Elephas maximus indicus: one gene and its partner. The protein of the gene in region 2 purifies or fractionates together with the protein of the main gene of each other region. This does not show direct contact. Links are inferred from orthologs where the notes say so. Each region holds a gene or a part of one and is shown on either strand. Other genes may lie near its edges.

What was found.
Region 1: the proteins of HERPUD1 (region 2) and UBQLN2 purify together in Homo sapiens (affinity purification with mass spectrometry; 3 studies listed by BioGRID, with this or other methods). This does not show direct contact. The link is inferred for Elephas maximus indicus from reciprocal best matches to the Homo sapiens genes HERPUD1 and UBQLN2.

Annotation. Positions count from the first base shown.
Region 1 is NC_064846.1:111,486,550-111,502,677, forward strand, and holds UBQLN2 (ubiquilin-2), read right to left. Parts: upstream 7,591-16,128; 5' UTR 7,312-7,590; coding exon 5,419-7,311; 3' UTR 4,313-5,418; downstream 1-4,312. UniProt on the Homo sapiens protein: Plays an important role in the regulation of different protein degradation mechanisms and pathways including ubiquitin-proteasome system (UPS), autophagy and the endoplasmic reticulum-associated protein degradation (ERAD) pathway.
Region 2 is NC_064839.1:23,864,565-23,879,900, reverse strand, and holds the start of HERPUD1 (homocysteine-responsive endoplasmic reticulum-resident ubiquitin-like domain member 1 protein), read right to left. Parts: upstream 7,112-15,336; 5' UTR 7,021-7,111; coding exon 6,868-7,020; intron 4,368-6,867; coding exon 4,290-4,367; intron 4,203-4,289; coding exon 4,128-4,202; intron 3,306-4,127; coding exon 3,175-3,305; intron 974-3,174; coding exon 851-973; intron 309-850; coding exon 1-308. UniProt on the Homo sapiens protein: Component of the endoplasmic reticulum quality control (ERQC) system also called ER-associated degradation (ERAD) involved in ubiquitin-dependent degradation of misfolded endoplasmic reticulum proteins.

The DNA of each region.
Region 1 (16,128 bases), on a different chromosome or scaffold from region 2:
TGTCATCAATATTCCCCTGGACTAGGAACTCCTCCACTCAGGAACCCTGGGTCCAACGGATGCGCTCTGCTCCCGGCACTGCTTTCTTGGTGGTATGAGGTCCCCACTCCCTGCTTGTTTCCCTTTCGTTTCATCTCTTGTAAGATAAAAGGTGGTACAGGCCACACTCCCTTTACATTGGATCAGGGATGTGACCTTAGTAAGGGTGTTACAATCCCACCTTAATCCTCTTTAACATAAGATTATAATCACAAAATTGAGGACAACCACACAATACTGGGAATCATGGCCTAACCTAGCTGACACATATTTTTGGGGGACACAATTCAATCCATGACGAACTCTAAAATAAAGATATGATTATGATATCCATTTTACAGATGGGAAAGTAGGGCTTAATTTTCATAATGTCACATAGCTAGAATGTGGTAGAGCCAGGGTTTGAACCCAGGCTGTCTGACTCTAAAGTCTAAGTCCTTAAACACACATATGCATTGTTCTCTCACTGCTGATCTGCTCTGTTACAAGAAACACATCAAAAACAAAGCTAAAAGACAAGATTGGTGGAGAAAATATTTGCTATATGTATCTATATACATTGGAAACCCTGGTGGTGTAGTGGTTACGTGCTACGGCTGCTAACCAAGAGGTCAGCAGTTTGAATCCGCCAGGCACTCTTTGGAAACTCTATGGTACAGTTCTACTCTGTCCTATAGGGTTGCTATGAGTTGGAATGGACTCGACGGCAGTGGGTTTTATCTGTATACATACAAAAGATCAAAATCTACAATATACAGAGAGCTCATACAACTGATAAAAGGACAACTCAATTAAAATAAAGGCTAGTGATATGAATAAACAATTTATGGAAAAAGAAACTTTAGGGGCCAAAGAACAAATGTACTAAAGCTCAACCTCATTGCTATCAGGGAAATGCAAATTAAAATAACATTTTGCCCATCAGTATGGCAAAAGTGCAAAAGAATTTTTTTTTTAATAATGTAGGAAAACGGTTGTGAACCTCCATCCTCTACTGGGGAGAGTGTAAATTGTTACAAACACTTCGAAGGGCATTTTAACAGTGTTACTCAAATTTTAAAAAATTGTTATCTTCAAACTAAGTAGTTCACTGTATTGTTGTAGGGTAAAAAAACATCAAAATCAAAAAGGTTTCATTCAGCATATATTCAAAAAGACAAGAGTGGGAAATGGACATGCATGCTGCCAGAGTTAATGTCTGCCCAAATCCAAGGAACTATTACAGAGCAGACAAAGGTGGGAAAACGGTCAAGCATGCTACCACAGCCATGTTTGCCCAAGTTCAGAGAATATTTCAGAATACGCAAGAATGGGAAAACAGACAAGCCTGCTGCCACAGCCATGTCTGAGTCTGAAGAACATTTCATAGTCATCAGTATATATTAACACTACACAATGGGCAAAACCATTGAAAGCTTCACCTTTTCACAGATTGGCTAGAAACTGTGATCTTACATTTTTTGTTTTTTTAATTTTTATTGTGCTTTAAGTGAAAGTTTACAAATCAAGTCAGTCTCTCACACAAAAACTTAAGTACACCTTGCTACATACTCCCAGTTGCTCTCCCCTTAATGAGACAGCCCGCTCCCTCCCTCTACTCTCTATATTCGTGTCCATTTCGCCAGCTTCTAACCCCCCCCCACCCTCTCATCTCTCCTCCAGGGAGGAGATGCCAACATAGTCTCAAGTGTCCACCTGATCCAAGAAGCTCCCTCCTCACCAGCATCCCTCTCCAACCCACTGTCCAGTCCAATCCCTGTCTGAAGAGTTGGCTTTGGGACTAGTTCCTGTCCTGCATGCACCCCACTTATTGCTATCTTGACACTGAAAATCAGGACTTGGAGCAGGCTGCCTCCTCTCAGCGGGCCAGCTCAGCCACATCCAATTACAGGTGTCTCCTGAAGTGATTACTCACCTAACATGGTGGTCTCCACCTGATACAAAATTCCTCTTTACTGCAGCAGCAGGGCTTGTTTTAATGCTGTATTATCACTTCCCCCCCCAACCACACACAAGTGGTGAGAGTTCATATACCACATACCTGAAGCAGAGGTCAAAAGGGCAAATGTGGAAAGCTGCCTACGGGTGAAATCTTCTTGTTGGGGTTATTCTTGGCCCTAGCTCCCTACTACCTGACCCTGCTAGACCAAACTTACACCATCCAGCCGTCCAGTGTAGGCCTGGGGAGGGGGTGACAACCAAGCAAACAGTGACAGAATACGAAAATCACCTCTATTCTCTTATTGGAGAGAATGGATAGCAGGTCATAGATACCTTTCTTGACTCAATGATGAATAAATGGATAAATAGTATGTGAAGAAAGCCTAACAGCAACAAAAAACCCAACAGAGCCTGGAAAAAGGGCCTGCAACATAATAGGAGAAAATTACATTATGCAAAGGATCGAAGAAGAGCAGTTAAAAGCAATAAAAAAGAAGCCAAAATAATTAAAGTTACAAACAAAAATTTATGAGCTGGAAAGTGGAGAAACATTAGAATTAATAAAGACTTGGATCTTTTCAGGGAGAAAAACAAAAATAGATTAAAAATAGATAAACATTTGGCAAATTAAGATTTCTGTTTCTTGAATGTTTGAAATTAATTTACCTGCTAAACTGTCTGGGCCAGGCCTCAGACAGCATTCAGGTTCTCCTATGGTTATTGACTTATTGCTCTCTTATGCCTCTGGTTGGTTTTAGTATTTTCCTGTAAAATCATCCATTTCGTTAAAATTTTAAAATTTATTACAGCAGACTTTGTGATTATCTCAAACACTCACCACCATATAGCAGTGAAGTAATAAATCACCATTTCCTAAGTTGGTTTTCTGAAGAACAGTGGTAGGCCAAATATTACTAGGTGTGTTTAAAAGAAAAAAAGTGGTCCTTTACTCAAGTAAGTTTGGGAAATGCTGAGTTAAAAAGTTAACAGTTTTTTTTTAATTGTAAGAACTTACTCATTAAAAAATAACATTAGCCAACATTTATTGTACAATAAATCTCAAAGAAAGAGTATATGTAGTATACAGCATTTTTCAAACTTAATTGCTTAATCATCTCTCAGAAGGATGTTTCACAAAACACAATTTAGGATTGTTGCAGCAAACGTAATCTGGTTAAAATGAGAAAAAAGATAAGGATGCCGCTGCCACCTTTATTACTTAGCACTACTCTGGAAGTGTTTAAGCCATGCAGTCAGAAACTGTCATAAATTCTGCAAAGAACATAGTATTATAACTTATCATTGATATATGATTGCCTATTAGAAAATCCAAAAGGATCAACTGAATACCTTTGAAATTAATATATTAATACTTTAATAAATTGTCTAATTTTAATCTATGAAAATAAATTCCTCTCCAACCATGATCATATAGGTAACACAATGAGTAAGGGCTCCCACTCGCAGTATCAATAATTATACAGGACTTAAAACTTCCTTGAAGGATGTAAAAAGCTTTTTAAAATGGAGGCAACATACTGTGTTTCTGGAAAGAATTGCAATTCTGTTCTCAACATCTTATCAATTTGAGGCAATAACCAAATTTCCAATTTATTTTTTGGGGGGGGATCTATTAACTGTAAAGTTCATCGGTTAAAATAAACACGTCAGGATCATCAGAAAATTATGAAAAAAAAAAGTGATCAAGAGGAGGACTCAAGATATGAAGTCTTATTTCTAATAACTAGAGGCTGATGTACTCAGGCTACTCAGATGACTTACTCAGATAGTTCAGTGATACTAAAAAGAATACAAACACAGAATAAAGTGTATATATACATACACTTTATATAAAGTGTATTAAATGTATAAAAAATGTATATATACATATACAAATGAAAGTTCAAATGGAAGGAGATGAACTACCGGCTAATAGCAGGCTAATCCTTTGGGGAAAAAGAGTTAGAATACCTAAATCTATACATCAGGATCCCTGGTGGTGCAGTGGTTAAGTGCTCATCTGCCAACCAAAAGGTGGGTGGTTTGAATCCACCAGCCACTCTGAGGGAGAAAAGATGTGGCAGTCTGCTTCCATGAAGATTACAGCCTTAGAAGCCCTATGGGGTCAGTTCTACTCTGTCCTACAGAGTCCTGTAAGTCAGAATCAACTGGATGGCAATAAGGTGGCTTGTACATCAAAATAATTCCATTTGGCCCAAAAATAATTTTTTTTTTAAATAAAATGATAAGTTAAAGAAAGAAATATAGGATAAGATTTACAGAACCTTGAGGTGGGGCAACCCTTCAAAACATGATCCTAAGGCCAGAAGGCAAAAAGGAAAGGATTTATCCATTTTTTATTATTTTATTATTTTTTTAGTCATTTTTTATGCATTTTCCCTGTGCACAAGAGAAATAACTGATAAAGTCAAAAGATACAGTTTCCTTTATACATATCAGTTAGAAGTAATTCAAACACCACATGACACTTTCAGGAAAAGTTACATTTCCAATTACAAATCAAAATGCATATTAGGGTCTCTTTATCGAAGAAGCTGAGAAGAAAGCCTTAGGTGAAAAGCACTTTCCTGGCATTACTACACTGATCCTTCAGGTTGCACAAAGATTAAGATCATATACAATCTGTAAGTGCTGACACAATGTTACACTGACAGTTTTCTGTACAATTAAATGTATACTTAGAGATAACCAGGATAAACATTTCTACTATATTTTAACTGAACTTGCCTAGCCAACATTTTCACTGAGTTCATCAAAGATGCTGTAAGATTCTACAAAATTGGGAGAAGTACTTAGTTTCAGAAATATTTATTCTTTCTCATTTTGGTTACACATATTCTGCTCAGTCTATTGCAATCTCTAAAAGATGCACAGTTCCAATTGTGCTTACTGTACTGTGTACAAATATAGCAAAAAAGGTAAGTGGTATAAATCTTACAGCATTTTTCTAGCAAAAATACATGCCAAACTCACAATAAGCAATATTATACCACAAATTAGAGTGCTTCAAATAGTTTGCTTCTAATATCTTCATTTCACATTAAATTACTATCACAGGCTAATGTTTAAAATGCAAATAAACTGGACATCTGTAGGACAAAACTTGCTCACCCAACTGTGAAGGTTGATACCTGTTTCCAAAAATCACAATAAATGCAGAGTAAAAAGAAGTGTTTGCATGCAGCACTTCTGAGTGAAACAGTATTGATTCCCACCATTCACAACAGAGAAGGAAGGAAACAGAAGGAAAAAGGGAAGGAAAGGGAAGGGACTCCACCTTAAAATGCATCATATTAGATTTATAACCAGATAGATTTAAAAGAATCAAAATGAAAGTAAAGCACGGGTGTGTGTTTAAAGATTTAAGAGCCATTATCAAAAATAAGATACGTTTTTTTTCAAGGTACAGAAATGTAATTAGGATGGCTGGGAGCCCAGCAGCCTCTCAATTGCTGCATTGATGTCGCCTCCTGTTGCTATAAGAGCCTGCAAGTTTGCTTCACGGTTTAAAAACCCCATTGCGTTGAGCTGTTCCAGTTGTTGCTGAAATCTGACTTCTGGATTCGGCAGCTGTGGAGTATTTGCTCCAGCCAGAGCCTGCACCATCTGCTGAATGAACTGCTGGTTTGGTCCAGGTTCTGATGTTGGACTCGTGGTTTCACTGGGTGCAGAGCTAGACACCGTGGACCCAGTATGGCCACCAGAGCCAGCAGGGCCACCAGAGCCAGCGGGGCCAGGGGGTCCTGCGGGGCCAGTGGGTCCTATGGGCCCAATGGGGCCTATGGGGGTAAATGGGACTATGGGGCTTATAGGGCCTATGGGAGTGACTGGGCCTACAGGACCTATGGCAGTTCCTAGCACCCCCACCCCCACACCTGGAGTGAAGCTTGGAATGAGGCCAGGTGCTTCTGTGGCTAATGTCTGCAGACCCTGTTGGATCTGCATTAAAGCTTGCATTGCTCTTGGGTTTGACATGGCTGCTAGCGTGTCTGGATTCTGCATCTGCTGCAGGAAACCTGGGAGTTGTGGACGCATCTGCTCCTGCAGCTGAGGATTTGCAGCAAACAGCGGATTATTCAGCATCATCTGTGCAGCCAGATCTGGATTCTGGCTCAGGGACTGCATCATGCTTCTCATGTAGGGTGCAGACAGCATATTCTGGATCAGCTGGGGGTTTTCAGTTATCTGTTGCAGCAGACTCTGCATTCCTGGGGTACTGAAGACGCTGGCGACATAATTGGCTGCAGCCACTGTGTTCCCAGTAGTATTGCTGGAGCTACTGCCAGATCCACTCCCACTGCTTGTAGTGGTATTGGTGGTCGCAGAACTCGGAGTAGCCTGTGGTGGCGCCCATGGGTTGGGTAGTGGATCTCGATTTTCTGTGCGGGAAGGCTGTGTACCTTCCCCGGAGGAGGAACTGCTCCCCACCGAGGCAAACGGATTACCCCCAAACTGCTCCTGTGCAGCATTCAGCATAGGTTCTTGAATGTCAGTGTACATGCGCCTCAGAGCATTGTAGCCACCTGGGATGCTTTCGAGATTGCTCAGAGCCAGGTCTTGATTTCTCATCATTTCTTGCATCATGGCTGGATTCCTGGCGATTTCAAGGGTCTGCCTCATTATATCTGGGTTGTTAAGCAGGTGACTTATTTCTGGGTTTCTCTGAATCAACTGTTGCATCTGTGGGTTGGCCATAATGAGCTGCCTCATCAGATCGGGGTTCGAAAGCATGCTCTGAACAAAGGGATTTTCCATGATTTGGATCATCATCTCAGGGCTGGACAAGAGCTGCTGCTGCATCTGGCTCTGGAGCTCAGAGAAGTTGGTCGAGCTCAAGCCCAGGCTGCTAAGGCTCGCAAGTCCTCCCAGGTTCCCCAACCCAAATGGGTTGCTATTTGTGGAAATCGGTGTGGAGTTACTCCGGGGAGTCGATGCCGTGGTAGTATTAGTTCCCGCGGCATTGCTAGGCTGCGTGGACTGGCCCTGAGGTCGGTTCTGGCTTTTGATGACAAGGTGAACAGTCAGTCCATCATGGATGCCGTGCTGGATCAAGGTATCTTGATCTTTTAAGATTTTTCCGGCAAAAATCAGCACTAGCTGGTCGGTTTGGGATTTGAAGCGTTTTGAAATCGCTTCCTTAAACTGCTGGACCGAGCTATTCTCGGGCACCGCGAACTCCTCTTTCTCTTTGGGGGTCTTCACAGTGACTTTGATGATTTTGGGTTCCGCGGCGGCAGTGGCCGAGCCTTGGGCCGCAGCAGGGCCGCGGGAGGGGTGCGGGGGGCCGTTGCTCTCGCCGTTCTCAGCCATGGCGGCCGCGGTGACGCAGGCAGGCAGGGAAGGCGCGGGCTGGTGAGCGAGAGAGCGAGGGAAGAAAGAAGGAGGCGCCGCCACAGCAGGCTAGGCCGGACCGTGTGGGGAGCGCTTAGCACCGTACCTCTGAGTTGAAGGCTGCGGTTCCCTGGTCCTCCGGTGGTGGTGGTGAGAGGGCTGGCGTAGGCCGCGGGCCGAGATATCCGCGTTCAGGGCTCTGAGCCTCAGCAGCCGCCGTGTGATCCCACCGCGCGCACTCCCAGCAGCTCCTGCAAACTGCTCCGCCCGCTCCTCCCCGCCCCTTCCCCTCCCCCAGCTCTAAGCCCGCCTCCCCCCCCCCACCCGCCCAGTTGACGTTGCCAGGCCTAGATTGATAGAATTGACTCGGTCGAAATTAAAAACTTCTGTACTGAAGGGGAGAGAGGGAGAGAGGGGCAGAGAGGGAGAGAAGGAGAGGGGAAGAAAGGGGAAGAAGGAGAGGGAGAAGAGGAGAGTGGAAGGGTGGGAGGGAGGGAGTGAAGGAAGTAAGTGTCTGTAAAGGACATTAGAAGACAAACGGAGAATATATATTAGCAGTCTGTAAGGCAATAAAAGAAGCCCTGATGACGCAGTGGTTAAAGCGCTTGGCTGCTAACCAAAAGGTCGGAAGTTCGAAACCACCAGCCACTACAGTAAAGATGTGGCCGTCGGCTTCCGTAGAGATTTATAGCGTTGGAAACCCTATGGGGTCGCTCTGAGTCGGAATCTAAGACGGAAAGCCTGAATCCAAGAGTCTCTGCAAAAGACGAAAAAGGAATAATAAAGAACTCTGACAAAGGAAAAGAGGAACACTCGCTAATGGGGGAAGGGGAGAAGACTGGGCAAGAGCACGCGTTTTACATAAGAAGTGCAAAGGGACAACAGACAGAAAAGAATGATCAAACTCACTAGCAATCAATGAAATTGATATTAAAACAATGAAATTCCATTTTTGGCTTTTGTTGGCTAAGAAGAAAAATAAACCTTACCATTGGCAGGGAGTTGAGAAAATGCACTTTCATGCTGTGAATTGTTATAATCCTTTTACAGTTATTTGAAAATACGATCAGCATTTTAAATATGTCCACCTTTATTTAGAAATGCATCAACTAGAGACCTGGGCTAAGAAAATAATCAGATAACGATGCAAAAATACACATGTATAAAATTATTATTTAAAAAAGACAGTGCCTTTACACAGAAATGGTCAAATGTATGATGATATTACAATAAAATCATACGCATCATGTTTTTTAGAAATGACTATTTATATGATATAAACAATCTTTAATCCTGAGTGAAACAGACATTAGTTATAGGGAGATCCTAGACTATTTTCACTTTATGTATTTCTATAGTTAAAATTTTTACAAGAATGTACATTTTAATACCAAAAATACAATAAAGACACTTTTAAAATAAATTTTTGAATAGTTTGTGTATGTAAACTGTATGTGTATGTATAAAAGTAAGTCAGACACTATACAGGCAGTCCCCGCATTAGAATGGCTAACCTACTGACAACTCCTACTTAAGAATGGACTGCCATAAACCCTATTATATTAAAAATTTGAGTTAAATACATACAATGGTTTGTAATCACAGAAACGCAGGCACTACTTTGTGACACTCATGAAAACATTGTGGGTTTGGAAGTGTTTTTTAAGTCTTTTATATGCATAAAAAAGTGCAATATATACTATATACTAAGACAAACATTTTACTAACTGACGCTAAATAAGAACCATACATGTACCTGTTCTGACTTACTTAAAAATTGGACTTAAAGACACACTTACAACAGATCTTTTTTGTAACCTGGGGACGGTCTGTACACTGATATGTTAATGATGCTTATTACTGAATGCTGAAATTATGTACAATTCTTATCTTCTTATAAGATTTTCAGTTTTCTGATGGCTTTTACAAGTAGGCACTGGATGTATAACTTTTTGAAAATCAGAAAGTTATTTCAGGGATAGGTTATAGGTCGAAATTCACAGGCACAAAATTGTAGTGGCATACATTAACACATTTACCTAACTTCTTTACAGATTAAGTTGGAGAAATAAAGATGTAGCAGTGCTGAGAAAGAGAACTTGAATAACAAAAGAAATAATTTCAAATTTATGTATAAATATCTAACTCTGATATAAAAATCGTATATAGAAATATTTTTACGCTAGTATCCAAAGAGTATGTAACAACATTTGAAGTCATTAGGCCACAGATACCTTAATAAATCTCAAGACAAAGAAAAAAAAATATGGTGCCTAATGTCCATAAATCGGGAATGGGTTAACATAGTATGATGAATATGATTAATAGTATACAGTAAGTAAAAGAAATGAACCAGATCTAAATGTTCCAATATGTATAAATCTCAGAAACCTAATTACCCAAAAACCCATTGCCGTCCAGTCGATTCCGACTCATAGTGGCCTAAAGGACAGAGTAGAACTGCCCCATAGAGATTCCAAGGAACACATGGTGGGTTGGAACTGCTGACTTTTTGGTTAGCAGCGGTAGCACTTAACCACTATGCCACCAGGGTTTCTGAAAACTAACTAGCACATGAAAAACAATACTCTAGGTGTTTATAGATGAATTCATGTGTATGTGAAATTATTAAAAGTATACTAGATTGGAAGCGATGTGTAGAAATTGGAAGCGATGTGTAGAAATTGGAACCCTCATCCACTGCTATTGGGAATTCAAAAAGGCACAGCCATTGGGAAAAACAGCCTGGCAGTTCCTCAAAAAACTGGAGGTAGAGCTGCCATATACCCAGCAATTCCACTCCTAGGTATATACACTAGGGATCTAATAGCAGTGACACAAACAGACATATGCACAACTGTATTCATCATAGCACATACAGCATTTTTACTCAAATAACTTGTGCCTTCCGTGTTTTTTTTGCTGGCCTCGCCCTCCCTCCCTTCTCCCCCACCCCAGGTATTTTCAAAAGCATGCTATGCTAATTTTTTTTGCAGCAACAAGTGGAAGAGGACTGGCTTGGCTTGCCCTTGTGAGGGTGTCTGGAGGGGGGTGGGGGTGGGCGGAGGGCATAAAAATATGGTATTTACAATAGCAAAAAGATGGAAACAACCTAAGTGCCCATCAAAGGATGAATGCATAAGTAAAATGTGGTATGTACAGAACATGGAATACTACTCGGTGATAAAGAAAAATGAGTTCCTAAAACATCTTGGAAGATGGATGAACCTGAAGGATGTTATGTTGAGTGAAATAAGCCAATCACAAAACAGTAAATACTGTATGTTCTCACTTTTATGAAATGACACGAACAAGTAAATAAACAGAAACCAATGCACATTAGTGGTTACCAGGGATGGGAGGCAAGAGGCGGGGGGGTGGGGGGGGGGTCGAGATTTACTCTATAGGTAGTAGATACCTGTTTTTTTTTTTGGTGAAGGAAAAGGTAATACCAAATGAGAGTGAACTGTACACAGCTTGACAAAATTAAACAATGTCATTAAAAAGTACACAAATAAAAAGGAAATACTGGTAATTGCTACTGCATGTATAATTTTTGAAACAACAGTAAAAACAACCAAAAAATATATGTGCTGGTATATATGTATGTATGTAGGCATATTTGTGTATAACACCAAAAAAAAAAACCAAACCCATTGCCACATATTCCACTAGATTCTGACTCATAGTGACCCTATACGACAGAGTAGAACTTCTCCATAGGGTTTCCAAAGCTGTAAATTCTTTATAGAAGCAGACTGCCACATCTTTCTACCTTGTAGCTGCTGGTGGGTTCGAACTGCCAACCTTCTGGTTAGCAGCTGAGTGCTTAACCACTGAGCCACTAGGGCTCCATATTTATGTATGGGTATATATATGTGTATATATAGGAGTTTGCATATGTGTATGAATCTGTGTGACTGTATGCACATACATTCATATATATAATAAAGCACATAGGTGGCACAGTTACTGATACTTTTTACACATAAACAAATATCTTTGGGGGATTAGATTTCTGGATTTGAAGGATTAGGATTGTAGTCCCATGGGACATCTCAGTCAATTGGCATAATATAATTCATAAAGTTATGTTCTAAACCCTAGTTTAGTGAGTAGTGCCTGGGGTCTTAAAAGCTTGTGAACGGCCATCTAAGATACAATTATTGGCCTCTACTTGTGCGGAGCAAAAGAGAAAGAAGGAAACCCAAAACTCAAAACAGAAACTTGTCTATGGGACAAATAGTCTACATAAAACACAGCCTCATCTACCCTGAGACCAGAAGAGCTAGATGGTGCTGGACTGCCATTACCAGCAATTCTAATCAGGGCCATGATAGAATGGGAGAAAAATGTGGAACAGAAACGCAAATTCCTAGAAAAAAAAATCCACTGGACTGGTTGAGACTGGAGGACTCCTCGAGTGTATTGTACTGAGTTACTCCTCAAACCTTGAACCAAAACTAATCCTTGAAGTCTCCTTGTAGCTAAATAACAAATTGGCTAAAAAAAAGTAGTGAATGCCACCACTAGGTACGGTGCTCTTTTAAAAAGCCACCTACATGAGACCAAAGGTCAACAATAACTTTAAAACAAAGATGAGAATGTAAGGGGCAAGGAAACTAGATTAATGGAAACAGGACAACCAGAATGGAAATATGAGAATGTTCACGCATTACGAAAAATGTAACCAATGTCACTGAACAACTTGTGTAGAAATTGTTGAATGACAATCTAAGCTTATGTGTAAATCTTCACAGAAAACACAAAAATTATTATTCAAAAAAAGAAGTATATTTGAGTGATTTATACAAAAATTGCACCGGTAGTTTCCCACAAGGAGAAGGAAATGGAACAGCATAGAGGATAGTGATTAAACGGATCTTGAATTAAATTTGTAAAAATGTGTTTCATTTTTAGAGTGGAAGTGAATATGGCAAAATATCAGCAATAGTTAATTCTAGGTAGTGGGAATATGAGTATTTCTTATAATAAATACTGTTTATATTTTTTATATTTTTAAATTTCTCAAAAAACTAAAGAGAAAAATAAGAAAATGTTACAGGCCACCTTCTTTAACCTCAATAGAATAAACCTGGATATTAATAATGAAAATGTAAGTAAAAAATCCAAACACTTGGAAATTAAAAAACCAAACACTTGAGAAAAAGTGCAAAACAAAGATTTTATTAGAGTGAATTTAGAAATAATGACAATGAGAATCACTAAGAGTAGTCTGAGGAGTTGTCTAAAAATGCAGATTTCTAGGCCTCATGCCAAACCTACTGATATAAATGATATCCAGGAACCTGCATTCTTAACAAAACATCTGTTTAATGATATTTGATTCATGTGGTACTATGTGGATGAACTCAGCGTCAAATTTATACACTGTTGTTGTTGTTAGGTGCCGTCGAGTTGGTTCCGACTCATAGCGACCCTGTGCACAACAAAACGAAACACTGCCCGGCCCTGAACCATCCTTACAATGGTTGTGATGCTTGAGCTCATTATTGCAACCACTGTGTCAATCCACCTCGTTGAGGGTCTTCCACTTTTCCACTGACCCTATACTCTGCCATGCATGATGTCCTTCTCCAGGGACTCATCCCTGCTGACAACATGTCCAAACTATGTAAGACACAGTCTCGCCATCCTTGCCCCTAAGGAGCATTCTGACCGCACTTGTTCCACAACAGATTTGTTCGTTCTTTTGGCAGTCCATGGTATATTCATTATTCTTCACCAACACCACAATTCAAAAGCGTCAATTCTTCTTCGGTCTTCCTTACTCATTGCCCAGCTTTCACATGCATATGATGTGATTGAAAATACCATGGCTTGGGTCAGGCGCACCTTAGTCTCCAGGGTGACATCTTTGCTCTTCAACACTTTGAAGAGGCCCTTTGCAGCAAATTTGCCCAGTGCAATGCGTCTTTGGATTTCTTGTCTGCTGCTTCCATGGCTGTTGATTGTGGATCCAAGTAAAAAGAAATCCTTGACAACTTCAATCTTTTCTCCGTTTATCATGATGTTGCTCATTGGTCCAATTGTGAGGATTTTTGTTTTCTTTATGTTGAGGTGTAACCCATACTGAAGGCTGTGGTCTTTGATCCTCATTAGTAAGTGCTTCAAGTCCTCTTCACTTACAGCAAGCAAGGTTGTGTCATCTGCATAACGCAGGTTGTTAATGAGTCTTCCTCCAATCCTGATGCCCTGTTCTTCTTCATATAGTCCAGCTTCTTGGATTATTTGCTCAGCATACAGACTGAATAAGTATGGTGAAAGAATACAACCCTGACACACACCTTTCCTGACTTTAAACCAATCAGTATCCCCTTGTTCTGTCCGAACAACTGCCTCTTGATCTATGTAAAAGTTCCTCATGAGCACAATTAAGTGTTCTGGAATTCTCATTCTTCGCAATGTTATCCATAATTTGTTATGATCCCTACAGTCGAATGCCTTTACATAGTCAATAAAACACAGATAGACATCCTTCTGGTAGTCTCTACTTCCAGCCAGTATCCATCTGACATCAATGATATCTCTAGTTCCACGTCCTCTTCTGAAACCGGCCTGAATTTCTGGCAGTTCCCTGTCGATATACTGCTGCAGCTGTTTTTGAATGATCTTCAACAAAATTTTGCTTGCACGTGATGTTAATGACATTGTTTTATAATTTCCACATTTGGTTGGATCACCTTTCTTGGGAATCAGCATAAATATGGATCTCTTCCAGTCAGTTGGCCAGGAAGCTGTCTTCCATATTTCTTGGCATAGACAAGTGAGCACCTCCAGCACTGCATCCCTTTGTTGAAACATCTCAATTGATATTCCATTCATTTGTGGAGCCTTGCTTTTCACCAATGCCTTCAGAGCAGCTTGGACTTCTTCCTTCAGTACCATCGCTTCCTGGTCATGTGCCACCTCTTGAAATGGTTGCACATCGACTAATTCTTTTTGGTATAATGACTCTGTGTATCCCTTCCATCTTCTTTTGATGCTTCCTGCATTGTTTAATATTTTCCCCATAGAATCCTTCACTATCGCAATTCGAGGCTTGAATTTTTTCTTCAGTTCTTTCAGCTTGAGAAACGCTGAGCAAGTTCTTACCTTTTGGTTTTCCATCTCCAGCTCTTCACACATGTCATTATAATGCTTTACTTTGTCTTCTGGAGCCGCCCTTTGAAATCTTTTGTTCAGTTCTTTTACTTCATCGACTCTTCCTTTTGCTTTAGCTGTTTGACTTTCAAGAACAAGTTTCAGAGTCTCTTCTAACATCCATCTTGGTCTTTTCTTTCTTTCCTGTCTCTTCAATAACTTCTTGCCTTCTTTATGGATGATGCCTTTGATGTCATTCCACAACTCGTCTGGTCTTTGGTGACCAGTGTTCAATGCATCAAATCTACTCTTCAGATGGTCTCTAAATTCAGGTGGGATATACTCAAGGTCATATTTTTGCTCTCCTGGACTTGCTCTGATTTTCTTCAGTTTCAGCTTGAATTTGCATAGGAGCAATTGATGATCTGTTACATAGTCAGCCCCTGGCCTTGTTCTGACTGATGATATTGAGCTTTTCCGTCGTCTCTTTCCACAGATGTAGTCAATTTGATTTCTGTGTGTTCCATCTGGCAAGGCCCATGTGTATAGTCAATCTGTCAGTTTGTCGTACTGTGGGGGCTTGCGTGTTTCTGTGATGCTGGAAGCTATACCACCGGTATTCAGATACCAGCAGAGTCACCCATGGAGGACAGGTTTCAGCTGAGCTTCTAGACTAAGACAGGCTAGGAAGAAGGACCTGGCAGTCTACTTCTGAAAAGCATTAGCCAGTGAAAACCTTATGAATAGCAGCGGAACCTTGTCTGATATAGTGCTGGAAGATGAGCCCCCCAGGTTGGAAGTCACTCAAAAGATGACTGGGGAAGAGCTGCCTCCTCAAAGTAGAGTCAACCTTAATGACATGGATGGAGTAAAGCTTTCAGAGCCTTCATCTGCTGATGTGGCATGACACAAAATGAGAAGAAACAGCTGCAAACATCCATTAATAATCAGAACCTGGAATGTAGAAAGTATGAATCTAGGAAAATTAGAAATTGTCAAAAATAAATGGAATGCATAAAGATAGATATCCTAAGCATTAGTGAGCTGAAATGGACCGGTATTGGCCATTTTGAAACAGACAGTCATATAGTCTACTGTGCTGGGAATGACAACTTGAAGAGGAATGGTGTTGCATTCATCATCAGAAAGAACTTTTCAAGATCTATCCTGAGGTACAACGCTGTCAGTGATAAGGTAATATCCATATGCGTACATGAAGGACCAGTTAATATGACTATTATTCAAACCAGTAGGGCCAAAGATGAAGAAATAGAAGATTTTCATGAGCTGCTGCAGTCTGAAATTGATCCAACATGCAATCAAGATGCATTGATAATTACCGGTGATTGGAATGCGAAAGTTGGAAAAAACAAAGAAGGATCAGTAGTTGGAAAATATGGCCTTGGTGATAGAAACAATGCCAGAGATAATATGATCACACTTAATAATTAACCTCTCTATATCTCAATATGCTTCATTTAGAAAATGAAGTGTTGTTTTGAGAATCAAGTAAATTAACATACATTAAGCACTTAGAACAGGACTTCATGCATAGTAAGCAATACATGAATATTATTACTGTTATTGCTATTATTGAAAACAGGTACTTCATACTCCTCTGGTGATTAGGTTTCTTGGTAATTACAACTTATCTGAAGGGCAAGTTGTTAATAAACACCAAAAGCTTAATAA
Region 2 (15,336 bases):
TCAGGGAGGAGTAGAAGTAGAGGATACTGAGGAAAACGGAGAACGTAGCTGCAGAATAGGTCCAGTCCAACCAATCTCGGTTTATCTCGTCATCTTCCTCTACGATTGGGCCACCTTGTGCATTCATCCGCAAATTCTGATTGGCTGCAGGATTGACCACCACTTGAGGAGCAGCATTCTGGTTGGCTGGCTGGTTTTCAGCTGGAAACTGGTTGTGAATTGGGGCTGGAGCCGGTGCTGTGACCACAGGTATCTCTTGTGCACTTGGTGGTGGGACAAAAGCCCCCGAGGCAGCAGTGGCTGCTAAACTAAGATAAAAAAGACAGAGACAGGAACTGTTGGGAGCAAAGCACTGTGAAGACAGTGGCTCACCTAACCTTACCTAGCAGGGGTCTTTACTGTTAACAATCAGAAATAGGTACGTGCAGACTTGGTTCTTCTTTAACGTAGTGAATAACTTCATTGCTGAAGGTCATATCCATAAATGCCTTGTCTGTCCCTGAGAGAGGCCACACAATAAATTTCCTCCAGAATTAAACTTCACTGTCACTATAAAAGTATGGTGCAGGAGCAAATTAAAATTTTTACAAATGCAAAAAAAAAAACCTTAAAAATTGAAAAAAGAAAGGTAATATATTCTAAATAAATTCATCAGACTCTGTGCCAGACAAAAATCAATTCACAAATGAGGTAGCGCTTGTCACTTATACTCTCTTCCAGCCACAGAACCGGAGAGAGCAGGGCTCTGTAGAAATTGATGAAAATACACTCATCCTCCACTCTCCACTGTATAGGTGACATGGGTGGGACTGCCCTCATTCCCAGGAGCCCTGGCCACACCCACACTCACTACTGCATGTAGTACTGCCGGGCGTATATCTGCTGGAACCAGGACAGCTGCAGCCACCCATAAGTTGTGTAGCCCGTGAAACCAGGCCCCAGGCCTTGGAACGTCTGCTGGGCAGCTTCAGGTCTATAAAAGATTAAAAAAAAAAAAAAATCATTTCAAGTTGGTTTAGTAGAATAAAAGAAAACTAAGTTTAAATTACAAGCAGGGATTGGAGTCAAAGAGACAAGAAATGTCAAATGGACGTCCACTCTTAAGATGGAAGGATGGGCTTCAGGAGAGCTTTACGGTACACGGCGGTATGGTGCACCTGTGTAATGCAGGCACAGAAGGCGACGGCTGGTGAAGCCCTCCAACCGCAGTGCAGAGCCCACAGGAAGACAAGAGCCTCTTGTCCAGCACTGGGTTCTCATCATCCCAGTGACTACAGCGACTGGTGCTTGTTTTGCATATAGATGAAGTAAGCTGGACCTTTTCAGGTTAAGCGGATCCCCGCCTCACGTTTTGCCTTGCTTAGTCTCACTGCAGGCCAAATACACTGCTGATCCTTTAGAAGGCAGCTCTAAAGCCCCTTCTCACAAAGCCTCTCCTGACAGATCTCTGCCTCTTCTCTGGTCCTGGATCTCATTATTGGAGCCAGTTATGTGTGCATGTGGCATCACTTGTGTGTGCTGTTGACCACCTGGTGTCCTGTACAGGCTGCTGGGCCAGGCACCTTCAATCTATTCTCACTCGACCCCAAATGACCCTGTGGGGAGGGTCATCTCACCCCCACTATACCGAGGGGGAGCCCGAGTAGAGCTTAGGGAAGACAAGAGATTGGCACAAGGTCACTAAGCTAGTTAGTGACAGGGCTGGATTTGAGACCTGGTTTTCTTTGGTGCCAAACTCACACTTCTTTCAGGCAACACAGCCTTATACTGCCATGGGCCGGGGGGTGGGGGGTCATCTTTGGCTCCGTGCTTCTCACACAGAGCTCCTGTGACAGCACTTCGCAGCACTGAAATTATGGTAGACTTATGGGAAGATCCAGGGCTGGTTATGTGGTCATCTGTGCAGGCCAATATATATCTTTAAGGAAAGCTCTATGTACTGGCTGTTCAATAAATACCTGCTGAATGAAGTCACCTGGTTTTAATACGGTGAACTTCGCAAAGACATGGGCCGCAACTCTCAAGTCACACAACCAGAATATCCAATTATCCAATTTGTATGCTGACAGTCTATTAACCAGATCCCATACCCTGAGTGTTTCTGAAATAGTCCTCTAATACAATAGGTCTTGGTCTGATACTATTTTTGATCATTTACAAAAGCTACAGTGCATGAAGATGGGATGATAACAAAGAGCTTTCATTAATTTAGTTATATCTGATGATGGCATTATAGATATGCGAAATAACTAAAGTGTTTTTACAGCTGTATTTTTTTTTTTATATTAAAACATGAGACAACATGATAGCTGGGACTGACTTCTAAACACTTACACAAACAGGGAAGCAGGTACTAGAGGAAGCAAGTATGATGAAGCTTTGATCGTTTATTGGGCCTGGGTATGTTGATGTTATACAGTTCCCTCTGCTTCTGTGTTTTTAATATTCATGTTTTGATAAAGCCAGATGTTCGAGTTTTCTTTTTATTTTCATTAAGAAAAAGAAAATGCCTCAAACATCTGGCTTTATCAAAACACAAGTATTAAAAACTAGTAGAAAACTACTAGGGGGAGGTGAGTAGGAAAGTTTCAGAATTTCAACTCAGTTAACAGATTATTTTTTTCTGTAGGAACTTCCATAATCAGGTGTTCCTCCAAGGGCTAGAAAACCCCAGTGTCAGGACATTTAGTCACTTCTGGCTTTTGCTCTAAAGAAATGGCCTTTTTTCCTTGTATCGCCAACACAGTGCTTGGCAGAGCACTCCTTAAAGTCTCTTCACCTTTTGTCACCCATTGTTACAATAAACAAAGCACAAAGCCAACCAGCAAAGCAGCAGCAAGATGCCAATGACCAATTGCTTTTTCCCTGCAGCGGCGGGAATTAGGCAGGAATTCCCAATCTTCTTCGGGGCAATTGAGGGGTCAGCACAATGTAAACACACCCAGGTCGGAGGGACAGATGCCTACATTTTCCATACTCAGCCTCTGACTTTTTTACATGTTCTGAAAAGGCTGTGCATAAAGAAAAATTAAATACATACATGAACCCCTTTATAAAGTTTTGTGTGTTTCAATGTTTTGTGACTCTGTGTGTATAAAAACATGTTATTCTTAAATTCTTGCTAACGTTACACGCTCCTGTTGTATAAATTAGTCCTTTATAATACTCACTCACCTAGACATGTTCTCCCATCCAGAGGGAGAAAGGTTTCGAAGAGCCTCCCTTTGTCTTAAACCATCACTTGAGGAATCCCCAGGGTACTGTCCCTGATTAAGACCAGTGGGCTGCTCTGTGGATTCAGCAACCTAAATAAGGATAATGCGAACATCAGAACAAAGGATCTGATGCAACTGTGTGAAATCAAGCTAAAAGGCTGATTTTGCTGTGAATGGCTTAGGACCCCCACCCAAACCTCTGAACCTGACAAAATTAAATAGGTGCAATGGTATGTAAGAAAATGTCCTGAAATTTGTTCAACCCAATTTTCAATATATGGATACTTAAAAAAAATCTTTATTTTTCCTTAGAGTAACTACCCTATAGTTTCATTAAAGTCTTCCAACGAAGTTATCATTGGTGAGAAAGCTTAGATAATGCTCTATCTGTCTTACAGATGCTAAATTTACTAATTTGACTCAACCAGCAACCTAAAGGAAAGAGAATTTCCTATGCTACATTCAGATGTTTTAGGAAATGCAATGGCAACGCAAACTTAGAGAATGTCACCATGTCTAAACATTAATACTATACATACGCAAATAATCCTTGTGAAACAAAAAAATAAATGATTGACTGTCAATCATAAATGAGTGTCGTCGTTGTGCGCCCTGCTCGTTGGGTGATTCTGGTACATAGTTGTTGGGCAAATCACACCCCAGGAGACAGTGTGATGTGTAACTCTGCTTTTCCACTACAATCCTAATGGAATAGTCTGCTATATTACAGGAAACTCTCACTGGCGCTGATAACAGATTTCCTAATTCCTGATACTCACTGAGGAAGAAAAAAAATGTCACCTGGTAAAAATACAATAAAATCTCTCGTAAAGAATTTTATCCTACCTTCTTTATTCCTCCCTTGAGAGCCTGAATGACAAGATTGTTCCCGTCATGAAAAACCAGACATACCTTTGCACTGGTTTCTGGTGTTTTTGAAGGCGTCTTCACGTTGCACACCAGATGCAAAACATGCCGTTTTTCCTGCTAAAAGTATTAAGGAGGCACTTTAGAACCCGAATTCAATCTGGTAAGTGCTTAAGACATTCAAAAGTTCATGTGTAAGCGATGTACCTTTGGAAGCAAGTCCCTGAGACACTGGTGATCCAACAACAGCTTCCCAGAATAAATTAACCTCTGGTCCTCCGGACGCTTATCATGGAAAAGAAAGAGTCACACAGGTCAGCAGCATTCGGCCCCAACAAGTTCCCAAACACATAAAGGACTGTTTCACACAAATCATCAGAATATATGTGCTTTCCCCTATAGGAAAACACTTTTTCAAAGGCCTCATACACAGAACTTTTTATTTAGAAAGTGCTTAACTTTAAACTGATCAATAACATGCAGCAATTCTAAACTGAAGTCCTCAAAGGCTTTTCCTCACATACATATGCAGTTATAGAGGAGATGGTGAGTGGGAAACGGTCCACACAACTTTGTGGGAGTCAGTATCCCTACCTTCACGGGAGAAACTCTGAGAAATTGACTTGTCCAAGGTCAAGATCCCAATCCCTCTTCTCCTCCATACCAGGGATTTTAAAACCGTAACGACTCTAACACACTTTTATACAAAACTGACTTTTAAAATAGATTTTTAATGTATTTTGCACTTCTTTTAAAACCTTACTTTTAAAAACAATGGCCCCAATGATATATACCAGAGTACACTGGAACTCACCAACTTGTCAACCTACTCTTGTCAGAATAGCCAGTGACGCAAAACTTGGAACAAAGCTGTTCCTGCTAACAAGCCCGAGATTATAAAGCACGCTGTTTAAAACCAACGAAAGAAAATAACAAAAACTATGTGTGCTTATCTGCATAAATCAGGATTTTGGACGTTGTGGAACTACAACAAAATGCAGAACTCTATTGGGTGCAGCGATCACCACTGTTCTCACTGGCTGACTTTATAAGTAAATGCCATATATATGAATTTGTAAAATACTACGATATATGTGGGACCCTGCATTATACTGAAGATTTCTGCCACTAGAACTGTGTTTGAAAACTAGCGCCCTGTAGTAACAGCTGCCTGTGGATCTGAATTGTTTTCTCTTTTAAAGGCCTGACTTGACATTCTATGCCTTTACCCAGAAGACGCCATCTGAAAAAAAATACATTATCTTAAACAAACAACTGTTACAAAATAAAGCTTCTCACTTTATACCATTTTATACTCCCCCCGCCTAAAAAAAAATGAAGAACGTCCTCCAGGCATCCTAACTTTTAGATGTAACTTTGTATAGCTGAGAGGATGTTTTATTTAGAACTCTGGGTCTTCAAACACACCTATTAAGAGCGATGTTCCTAACCAGGGCAAGTCCTCAAGGAAAATGCTTCTCCACAACACTGCCTTTTACCCTATGATGCAACTAGAAACTACACCTGCTTCCCAGTTTGTGTACCTACTTGCCATTCTCACAGCCAAACAGCCACTTAGCTTCTTGGGAGCAGCTACCATAAAACCGCAAAGAATGCCAAGGTGAATTCTAAACGGCGCTGAGATAGAAACTTAAATAAATGAGCGAATTTCAAAATAACAACTCAGAAAGAAAATCCACTTCTACACTCCTAACGACAAAAACAACCTAACACAGGAGCTACACATACCAGAACCCTCTAGGGAAGGATTAGCAATTTCACAATTTTTTCCTGCCCCGGTGCCCTTTCCTGTTTAATCCAGAATTACAAACGTGGGCAGCACAGAACATTGCTGACATTTACCTAATATCCGAGGAGAAAGTAAATACAAGAGAGTCCAGAGCACAATCTCCATCACGTGGTGGGAAAGGAGGCGCTAAGGGTGATGTTGACAGATGTGCCAACCAAAACAAAGCAAGGAAGTCTCCGTAAGTGAGGGGCCAAAGTCGTAAAACCCAGACTCAAGGAAGCTCCTTCTGCCTGCTTCCCCACGAAGTCACTCTTGACCATAAAGTGCACCCGGCTCCTCCCTCGGACCCAGCAAAGGCTGCAGAGTCCAGCGCGACAGGGAGGGGCCGATGGCGGAAAGTGCACCGGGAGGGGAAGAGCCACGTCTTCCTCTTGGGTGTGGGACCTTAAGGACGCTGTGCCTGGTGCTCTAGCTACTGGCGCGGGGTGGCACCTGCACCCTCCTCTCCGCACTGAGCCGATACATTCATACAATTCATTTCACGGCATTTTTTATTTTCTTGTTTCCATCCATTGGATGCAATCCTATAAGGACACCTAGTAGCCCAGACGTCTGGGGAAACTAAGGCCTGGAGGGTGAAATGACTCACTCAAGGTCAAAATGCTGTTTCAGTGGCTTGGCTAAGGGTGGGACCTTGATCTGGGGCGAAGAGGAAGGGACCTGGGAGGTGGGGCAGGGCTGTGACAGCGTCTGGGGGCTTGGGGAAGTGGGGAGGTGGGGAGGCGAGATGACAGGAGACGGCAGCCCGTCAGGAAGGCAGGGTGATGGCGGCCAGAGAGAGGAGGCGACAGCCACCGGGCAAAGAGACGGGCGCCTACGGTACCGGCGGGCAGGGAAGGGGGGGAAGCCACAGCCTTGGGGAGGCGACCCGGCGGCCTTAACTGCCGCCGGAGGAAGGACAACTAAGGAGGAGGCTACTGGAAAGCGGAGGCGGACAGGGCATCCCTGGGAGGAGGGCTTGGGGGCTCCTCTCACCGGGCGCTCGGGGTAGACACGGCTCAGGTGGGCCTTGAGGTGACCCACGGTCCAGCTGCGTTCGCAGCTCAGCTCCAGGTCGCGGTGGCGCTGGTTGGGGCTCTTCACCAGGAGCGTGAGGGGCTCCAGTTCAGGCTGGGCATCTGGCTCCATGTCGGCTGCGCTGTGGGCTCCGCTACGCTCCGAGAAGCCAGGCACACGGCGCCGCACCCCCCCAGGCCCCAACGACGACGGTTCACGTCTCCCGGACGCGCGGCCCCGCCTCGGGCACCTTTTATAGGCACGCCGCGTCCGGGCCCTGCGACAGAACGCACTGTGGCTGCAGCCCATTGGCTGCGGTGGAGGCCACGGCCCCAACGTGGCCCAATCGGCGCGCGGATTGGGGCGGGCTGAGGACGTGGGCGTGGGCTGATGCAACCCGTCGCCGTTGCGTCAGCCCGAGCCGCGGCCGTGGCCCGGGAGCCGGGGTTCGGCGGCCATGTTTGGGTGCGTTGGACGGCGTGCGGGGCAGTTCGGCCCTGCGTCGACCAGAGAGCTTCGTAGCTCAGGTTGCCTGGGGCGCCTTAGGGAAAGCCATCCCACCCGGCCCCCAGCCTCACAGTCTCGGCAGATTGTTTCCTCACAAAGCAGCACCCCCGCCCTTTTTAACCCCGGGTACCAAGGCCAGCGTCCCCTTTTCGTTCTCCCAGGGGCCCGAGGACCTGCGGTTCCACAGCCAGTCAGCTCGAAGAACGGCTGGGTGGCTCCTATGGCTGGGTGGCTCCTATCGGCGAGCCCAGCCTGGAGTGCGCCCGGGATGTGCATTAGAAGGGCAAGGAAGAAGTTGCGCAGACATAGTGGTCTGGGCTCGTGGCCGAGAGGGTGAGGACATCCAAACGGCTGTTACCAATTTATGGCCTCTTGGTCTTGAACGTTACACCCTCAAGTGTGGAATATCATCCTTATTATGAATGGCAAGCAGGCCACAGTCCAGCTTACACTGGGAGACGCTCGAAAAGGATATGCACACATGGTTCCTTTCAGTTGGGACTGAGGCAAGGGAGGTTTCCTAAAATGTGACCACAAAGGCCTCTCTGTCATAGGCACTCCCTCCCTCCCTCCCTCCTTCCCGTCCGGAGGAGAAAATGTATTGAAAAGCAAAACTGACGTTGCACTGCCCCCATCCTTGTTCCAGCCCTGTTGGGACATTTGTTTTTCCAGGTGTGTCAGGGAGCCAAGGCTTGGTTTGGTAAGGACAGAAGGGTAGCAGGAGGAGCCTAGCGGCCTTAATATAAACAACATGAGGTGATTTCTTAGCTGTCTTTATACTGAGAACAATGGAGAGAGCCTTGGAGATAAATTGCCCTCAAGCTCAGCTTTCTAGGTTGGTTTTTGTCTGCTGAGGAGGGCTCGCTCTGTCCCTTTTCATCGTGGTTGGCTTCACGGATCGGGCCTGTGCAGTTAGTTATACAGGGCCCCATACTTGGTTTAGTGCTCTGCCATCGCTGTCTTGAAATTTTTAATAAACTGGAACAAGAGCCCCAGATTTTCGTTTTGTACTGGGTCCCACAAATCATGTAGCTGGTCCTTTTTATACCTCAAGATGGAAGAGAAAAACTGATTATGATCTGGTCTTGCTACTCATTAGAAGTTGACCTATGGGATAAGACCAGATGAAACAAGCAGAGGCCTTAGAGGGGACAGCTAGGCAGGAGATAACAGCTTCACTGGGAAATTAAGTATGCCACATGTCATGGATTGAATTATGTCCCCCCAAAAAGGTGTGTATCAATTTGGCTGGGCCATGATTCCCAGTATTGTGTGGTTGTCTTCCATTTTATGATTGTAATTTTATATTAAAGAGGATTAGGGTGGAATTGTAACACCCTTACTAAGGTCACATGCCTGATCCAATGTAAAGAGAGTTTTCCTGGAGTGTGGCCTGTACCACCATTTATCTTACAAGAGATAAAAGGAAAGGGAAGCAAGCAAAGAGCAGGGGACCTCATACCACCAAGAAAGCAATGCCAACAGCAGAGCACGTCCTTTGGATCTGAGGTTCCTGTGCTGAGATGCTCCCAAACCAAGGGAAGACTGATGACAAGGACCTTCCTCCAGAACCGACAGAGGGGAAAAAGCCTTCCCCTGGAGCCGGCGCCCTAAATTCGGACTTTCAGCCTACTGGACTGTGAGAGAATAAACTTCTCTTTGTTAAAGCCATCCACTTGTGGTATTTCTGTTACAGCAGCACTAGATGACTAAGACACCACATAACATGGTTTCGTCTGGCCTGTAGTAGCAAAGGTTGTTAATTGCCGTCAAGTCAAATCATAGCCACCCTATGTACAACAGAAGGAAACTGCCCAGTCTTGCGCCATCCTCATAACCTTTGCTATGTTTGAGCCCGTTGTTGCAGCCACTGTGTCAATCCATCTCGTCTAGGACCTTACTCTTTTTTGCTCACCCTCTACCTTACCAAGCATGATGCCCTTCTCCGGAGACTGGTCCTTCCTGATAACATGTCCAAAGTAGTGAGACAAAGTCTCGCCATCTGCACTTCCAAGGAACGTTCTGGCTGTACTTCTTCCAAGACAGACTTGTTCATTTTTCTGGCCAGACCTGTTTTTCTGGCAGTGCATGGTATATTCAGTATTCTTCACCAACACCATAATTCAAATGCATCAATTCCTCAGTCTTCCTTACTCATTGGCTAGCTTTCACATGCATGTGAGGTGACTGAAAATACCATGGCTTGGGTCAGGTGCACTGTAGTCCTCAAAGTGATGTCTTTGCTTTTTAACACTTTAAAGAGGTCTTTTGCAGCAGATTTGCCCAATGCAATATGTTGTTTCATTTCTTGACTGCTGCTTCCATGGGCATTGATTGTGGATCCAAGTAAAATTCAAGGTGTATGACAAACATTAGGACCCCTCAGGACATCTCATTGGTTTCCACTCAATAGCTGGGGAAAAGGTTATCCAATTTCTGTGATTCCCTCAAGTTATCTCATGAGGAGAGAGCTTCTTTTAAAGCACTTCTATGATTGTGTCTATAGCACATTTAGAAAAACATTAAATTCAAGTCAACACTGGCCGAGCCACTCCCCATCTCTGAGCCTCCATTTCCTCATCCGTAAAATGGGGAACATAATAACAGCCACTCCTAAGAGTTGTTGTAAGGACTGAAGAAATTAAAACCCAGAAAGCCCTCAGCAACATGCCTGGCATCCAGTAAGGGTGTAATAAATGTAGGCTGGTGTTAAAGCAAGCTGAGAGGGTGAGAGGGAGCACACAGCCTCTGGCCACAGAAGGTCACTTCATGACCATCGTGAGGCCAGGATGATAACACTGGGTGAGACAGGCCAGCCCCACTGACAGATGGAGCTGCTGGCCCTCCCTTCTGCTCACCAATCCTCTCCTTGTGCTCAGCCCAGTCGCTTTTCTGAGAGCCAAGAGGTAACCAAGTGTGGTCTGCAGGGCAGGGAAGGCTGCAAAGAAGGGGTGGGGAAAGCTAGCAGGGTGGGCTCCTCTGACCACCCAGTGGCGTCACTCAGGTTGATGTCACCCAGTGCAGTAACTCATGGTAACACCCCCCACATGGACCTCCTCCCATACTAGACCATAAAGAATCCTTAGTAATGTCTATTATCAATTTTAATCATAGAATAATATGTGATATAGTTGTAAATTACTTAAATGTAGTATTTCTCAAATTATATAAATACTAACAACAAAATTGTTTTGTAAAATCTTTTGACGTTGAATTACAACATTATTAGTTTTAGAAAAAAAAAAAAAGCTATGTCTTTAGAATAAATTTCCAGCAATGGTTTTAAAAAGAAAAAAAAATTCAAGTCAACAAATGTGCCAGGACTAGGATGATAAACAATCACAACCTTGTCCTTAGTGACTTTACAAATATAATGGGGATGATAAGACAGTACAAAAATAAAAGACAACCCAAATGTCTCATAGGTTCCTGGGGGACCTGTGAGAGAGGCAGAGAGGAGGAGTCAGAAAAATTGATGGAAGGGGTGGAATTTGAGCTCAGGATGGAGGATAGGTGGGATTTGAAAAATACACACATATGACAGCCTCTATTGCTGCTATGAGTTAAAATCAGCTCAATGGCAACAGATTTATTTTATTTTATTGATTAACTACCACCCGTCTGTCAGTTTGTGGTACTGCTGTGGCTTGAGTGTTGCTATGAAACTGGAAGCTATGCCACTAGTATTTCAAATACCAGCAGGGTTGCCCGTGGTGGACAGGTTTCAGAAAAGCTTTGAGACTAAAAGAGACTAGAAAGAAAGGCCTGGTAATCTATTCAGAAAATTAGCCAATGAAAACCCTATGGATTACAGAATTTTGTCTGAGACTTCAACTTGCTTGCTTTGGACACGTCACTGAGAGGGACAGATCAGTGGAGAGGGACAACACGTTTGGCAAAGTAGAGAGCCAACAAGGGTGAGGGAGATCCTTGATGAGAGGGATTAACTCAGTGGCCACAACAATGGACTCAGATATGCCAACAATCATGAAGATGGTGCAGGACCAGGCAGTGTTTTGTTCCATTACACATGGGATCACCACGAATCAGATTCAACTCAACAGCAGCTGATACTGGTAACTGGTATACCCATACAATGAAGCACTACTCAGCAACAAAAAGGAATGAACTACTGATACGTGCAACAGCATGAATGAATCTCAAAACCATGCTGAACAAAAGGACCAGACACAAAGGAGTACATATTATATGATTGCATTAATATGAAACTCAAGAACAAGCAAAACTAATCTATGGTGACAGAAAGCAGATCAGCGGTTGCCTGGGGATGGGGGTGGCAGAGAGAGTTTGGGAGGGGGTCTGGCAGTGGTGTGCCGATGCCGTCTTATATCGGTTCAGGAGTTGATTGTGAGCCTCTTTCCAACGCTGCTTTCAGTGACATCAGGTTGATAGCTTGAAATTGGCCAAATGGGAATATTTGCACCAGAGAGATCAGCAAATGCTATAAATCAGAGCTTTTTTTCTCCCTCAAGGAGCCAGTTATTAAACTTTTACCAGCACACTGCTGGGCATGAGGGAACTTTCTGGGGTGATGAAATGCTCTCTCATGTTGATAGACGAGTAGTTTATACATTTGTCAAAACTAATGAAACTATACACTTAAGACCTCTGTCTTTTACTATCATAAATTATAACTCAATTTCTAAAATGAAAAACAATTAAAAAAGGACAGCTGTCTGGGTCCCACTGCAGGCCTACCAATTGGGCATGATGCATCCAATTGGGTTCTGGTTCTAGGGCAAGGTTTAGGAACTACTGGCTAAGTGTGACAGTAAGTACAGGATTTATTTTAAAATAATAATAATGATAATGTCACTGACCCCCAACTGTATGTCAGTTTGTCATACTGTGGGGGCTTGCCTGTTGCTGTGATGCTGGAAGCTCTGCCACCAGTATTCAGATACCAGCAGGGTCACCCATGGAGGATAGCTTTCAGCTGAGCCTCCAGACTAAGAGAGACTAGGAAGAAGGACCCAGCAATCTACTTCTGAAAAGCATTAGCCAGTGAAAACCTTATGAATAGCAGCGGAACATTGTCTGCTATAGTGCTGGGAGGTGAGCCCCCCAGTTGGAAGGCACTCAAAAGATGACTGGGGAAGAGCTGCCTCCTCAAAGTAGAGTCGACCTTAATGACGTGGATGGAGTAAAGCTTTCGGGACTTTCATTTGCTGATGTGGCACGACTCAAAATGAGAAGAAACAGCTGCGGACATCCATTAATAATCGGAACCTGGAATGTACAAAGTATGAATCTAGGAAAATTGGAAATCATCAAAAATGAAATGGAACACGTAAACATCGATATCCTAGGCATTAGTGAGCTGAAATGGACTGGTATTGGCCTTTTTGAATTGGGCAATCATATAGTCTACTGTGCTGGGAATGACAACTTGAAGAGGAATGATGTTGCATTCATCATCAAAAAGAACGTTTCAAGATCTATCTGGAAGTACAACGCTGTCAGTGATAGGATAATATCCATACGCCTACAAAGAAGACAAGTTAATATGACTATTATTCAAATTTATGCACCAACCACTAGAACCGAAAATGAAGAAATAGAAGATTTTTATCAGCTGCTGCAGTCTGAAATTGATCGAACATGCAATCAAGTTGCATTGATAATTACTGGCGATTGGAATGCAAAAGTTGGATACAAAGAAGAAGGATCAGTAGTTGGAAAATATGGCCTTGGTGATAGAAACAATGCCGGAGATGGAATGATAGAATTTTGTAAGACCAACGACTTCTTCATTGCAAATACCTTCTTTCACCAACATAAACAGCGTCTATACACATGGACCTCGCCAGATAGGACACACAGAAACCAAATTGTCTACATCTGTGGAAAGAGAAGGTGGAAAAGCTCAATATCAGTCAGAACAAGGCCAGGGGCCGACTGTGGAATAGACCATCAATTGCTCATATGCAAGTTCAAGCTGAAACTGAAGAAAATCAGAGCAAGTCCACGAGAGACAAAATATGACCTTGAGTACACCCCACCTGAATTTAGAGACCGTCTGAAGAATAGATTTGACGCGTTGAACACTAGTGACTGAAGACAAGACAAGTTGTGGAATGACATCAAGGACATCATCTATGAAGAAAGCAAGACGTCATTGAAAGGACAGGAAAGAAAGAAAAGACCAAGATGGATGTCAGAGGAGACTCTGAAACTTGCTCTGAAACATCGAGCAGCTAAAGCAAAAGGAGGAATTGATGAAGTAAAAGAACTGAACAGAAGATTCCAAAGGGCATCTCGAGAAGACAAAGAAAAGCATTATAATGACATGTGCAAAGAACTGGAGATGGAAAACCAAAAGGGAAGAACACGCTCATTGTTTCTCAAGCTGAAAGAACTGAAGAAAAAATTCAAGCCTCAAGTTGCAATACTGAAGGATTCTATGGGGAAAATATTAAACGATGCAGGAAGCATCAAAAGAAGATGGGAAGAATACGCAGAGTCATTACACCAAAAAGAATTAGTCAATATTCAACCATTTCAAGAGGTGGCATATGATCGGGAACCGATGGTTGTGAAGGAAGAAGCCCAAGCTGCTCTGAAGGCATTGGTGAAAAACAAGGCTCCAGGAACTGATGGAATATCAATTGAGATGTTTCAACAAACAGATGCAGCACTGGAGGTGCTCACTCATCTATGCCAAGAAATATGGAAGACAGCTTCCTGGCCAACTGACTGGAAGAGATCCGTATTTATGCCTATTCCCAAGAAAGGTGATCCAACCAAATGTGGAAATTATAGAACAATATCATTAATATATCACACACAAGCAAAATTTTGCTGAAGATCATTCAAAAACGACTTCAGCAGTATATCAACAAGGAACTGCCAGAAATTCAGGCTGGTTCCAGAAGAGGACGTGGAACCAGGGATATCATTGCTGATGTCAGATGGATCCTGGCTGAAAGCAGAGAATACCAGAAGGATGTTTACCTGTGTTTTATTGACTATGCAAAGGCATTCGACTGTGTGGATCATAACAAATTAAGGATAACATCGCGAAGAATGGGAATTCCAGAACACTTAATTGTGCTCACGAGGAACCTTTACATAGATCAAGAGGCAGTTGTTCAGATAGAACAAGGGAATACTGATTGGTTTAAAGTCAGGAAAGCTGTGCGTCAGGGTAGTATTCTTTCACCATACCTATTCAATCTGTATGCTGAGCAAATAATATGAGAAGCTGGGCTATATGAAGAAGAACGGAGCATCAGGATTGGAGGAAGACTCATTAACAACCTGCGTTATGCAGATGACAGACTTGAAGTACTTACTAATGAAGATCAAAGACCACAGCCTTCAGTATGGTTTGCACCTCAACATAAAGAAAACAAAAACCCTCACAACTGGACCAGTGAACAACATCATGATAAACAGAGAAAAGATTGAAGTTGTCAAGGATTTCATTTTAGTTGGCTCCACAATCAACAACCATGGAAGCAGCAGTCAAGAAATCAAAAGTTGCATTGCATAGGGTAAATCTGCTGCAAAGGACCTCTTTAAAGTGTTGAAGAGCAAAGATGTCACTTTGAAGACTAAGGTGCACCTGACCCAAGTCATGGTATTTTCAATTGCATCATATGCATGTGAAAGCTGCACAATGAATAAGGAAGACCAAAGAAGAAGTGATGCCTTTGAATTGTGGTGTTGGCGAAGAATATTGAATATACCTTGGACTGCTAAAAGAATGAACTAATCTGTCTTGGAAGAAGTGTGGCCAGAATGCTCCTTAGAAGCAAGGATGACAAGACTGCGTCTTACATACTTTGGACATGTTGTCAGGAGGGATGAGTCCCCGGAGAAGGACATCATACTTGGCAGAGTACAGGGTCAGCGGAAAAGAGGAAGAGCCTCAACGAGGTGGATTGACACAGTGGCCACAACAACGAGCTCAAGCAT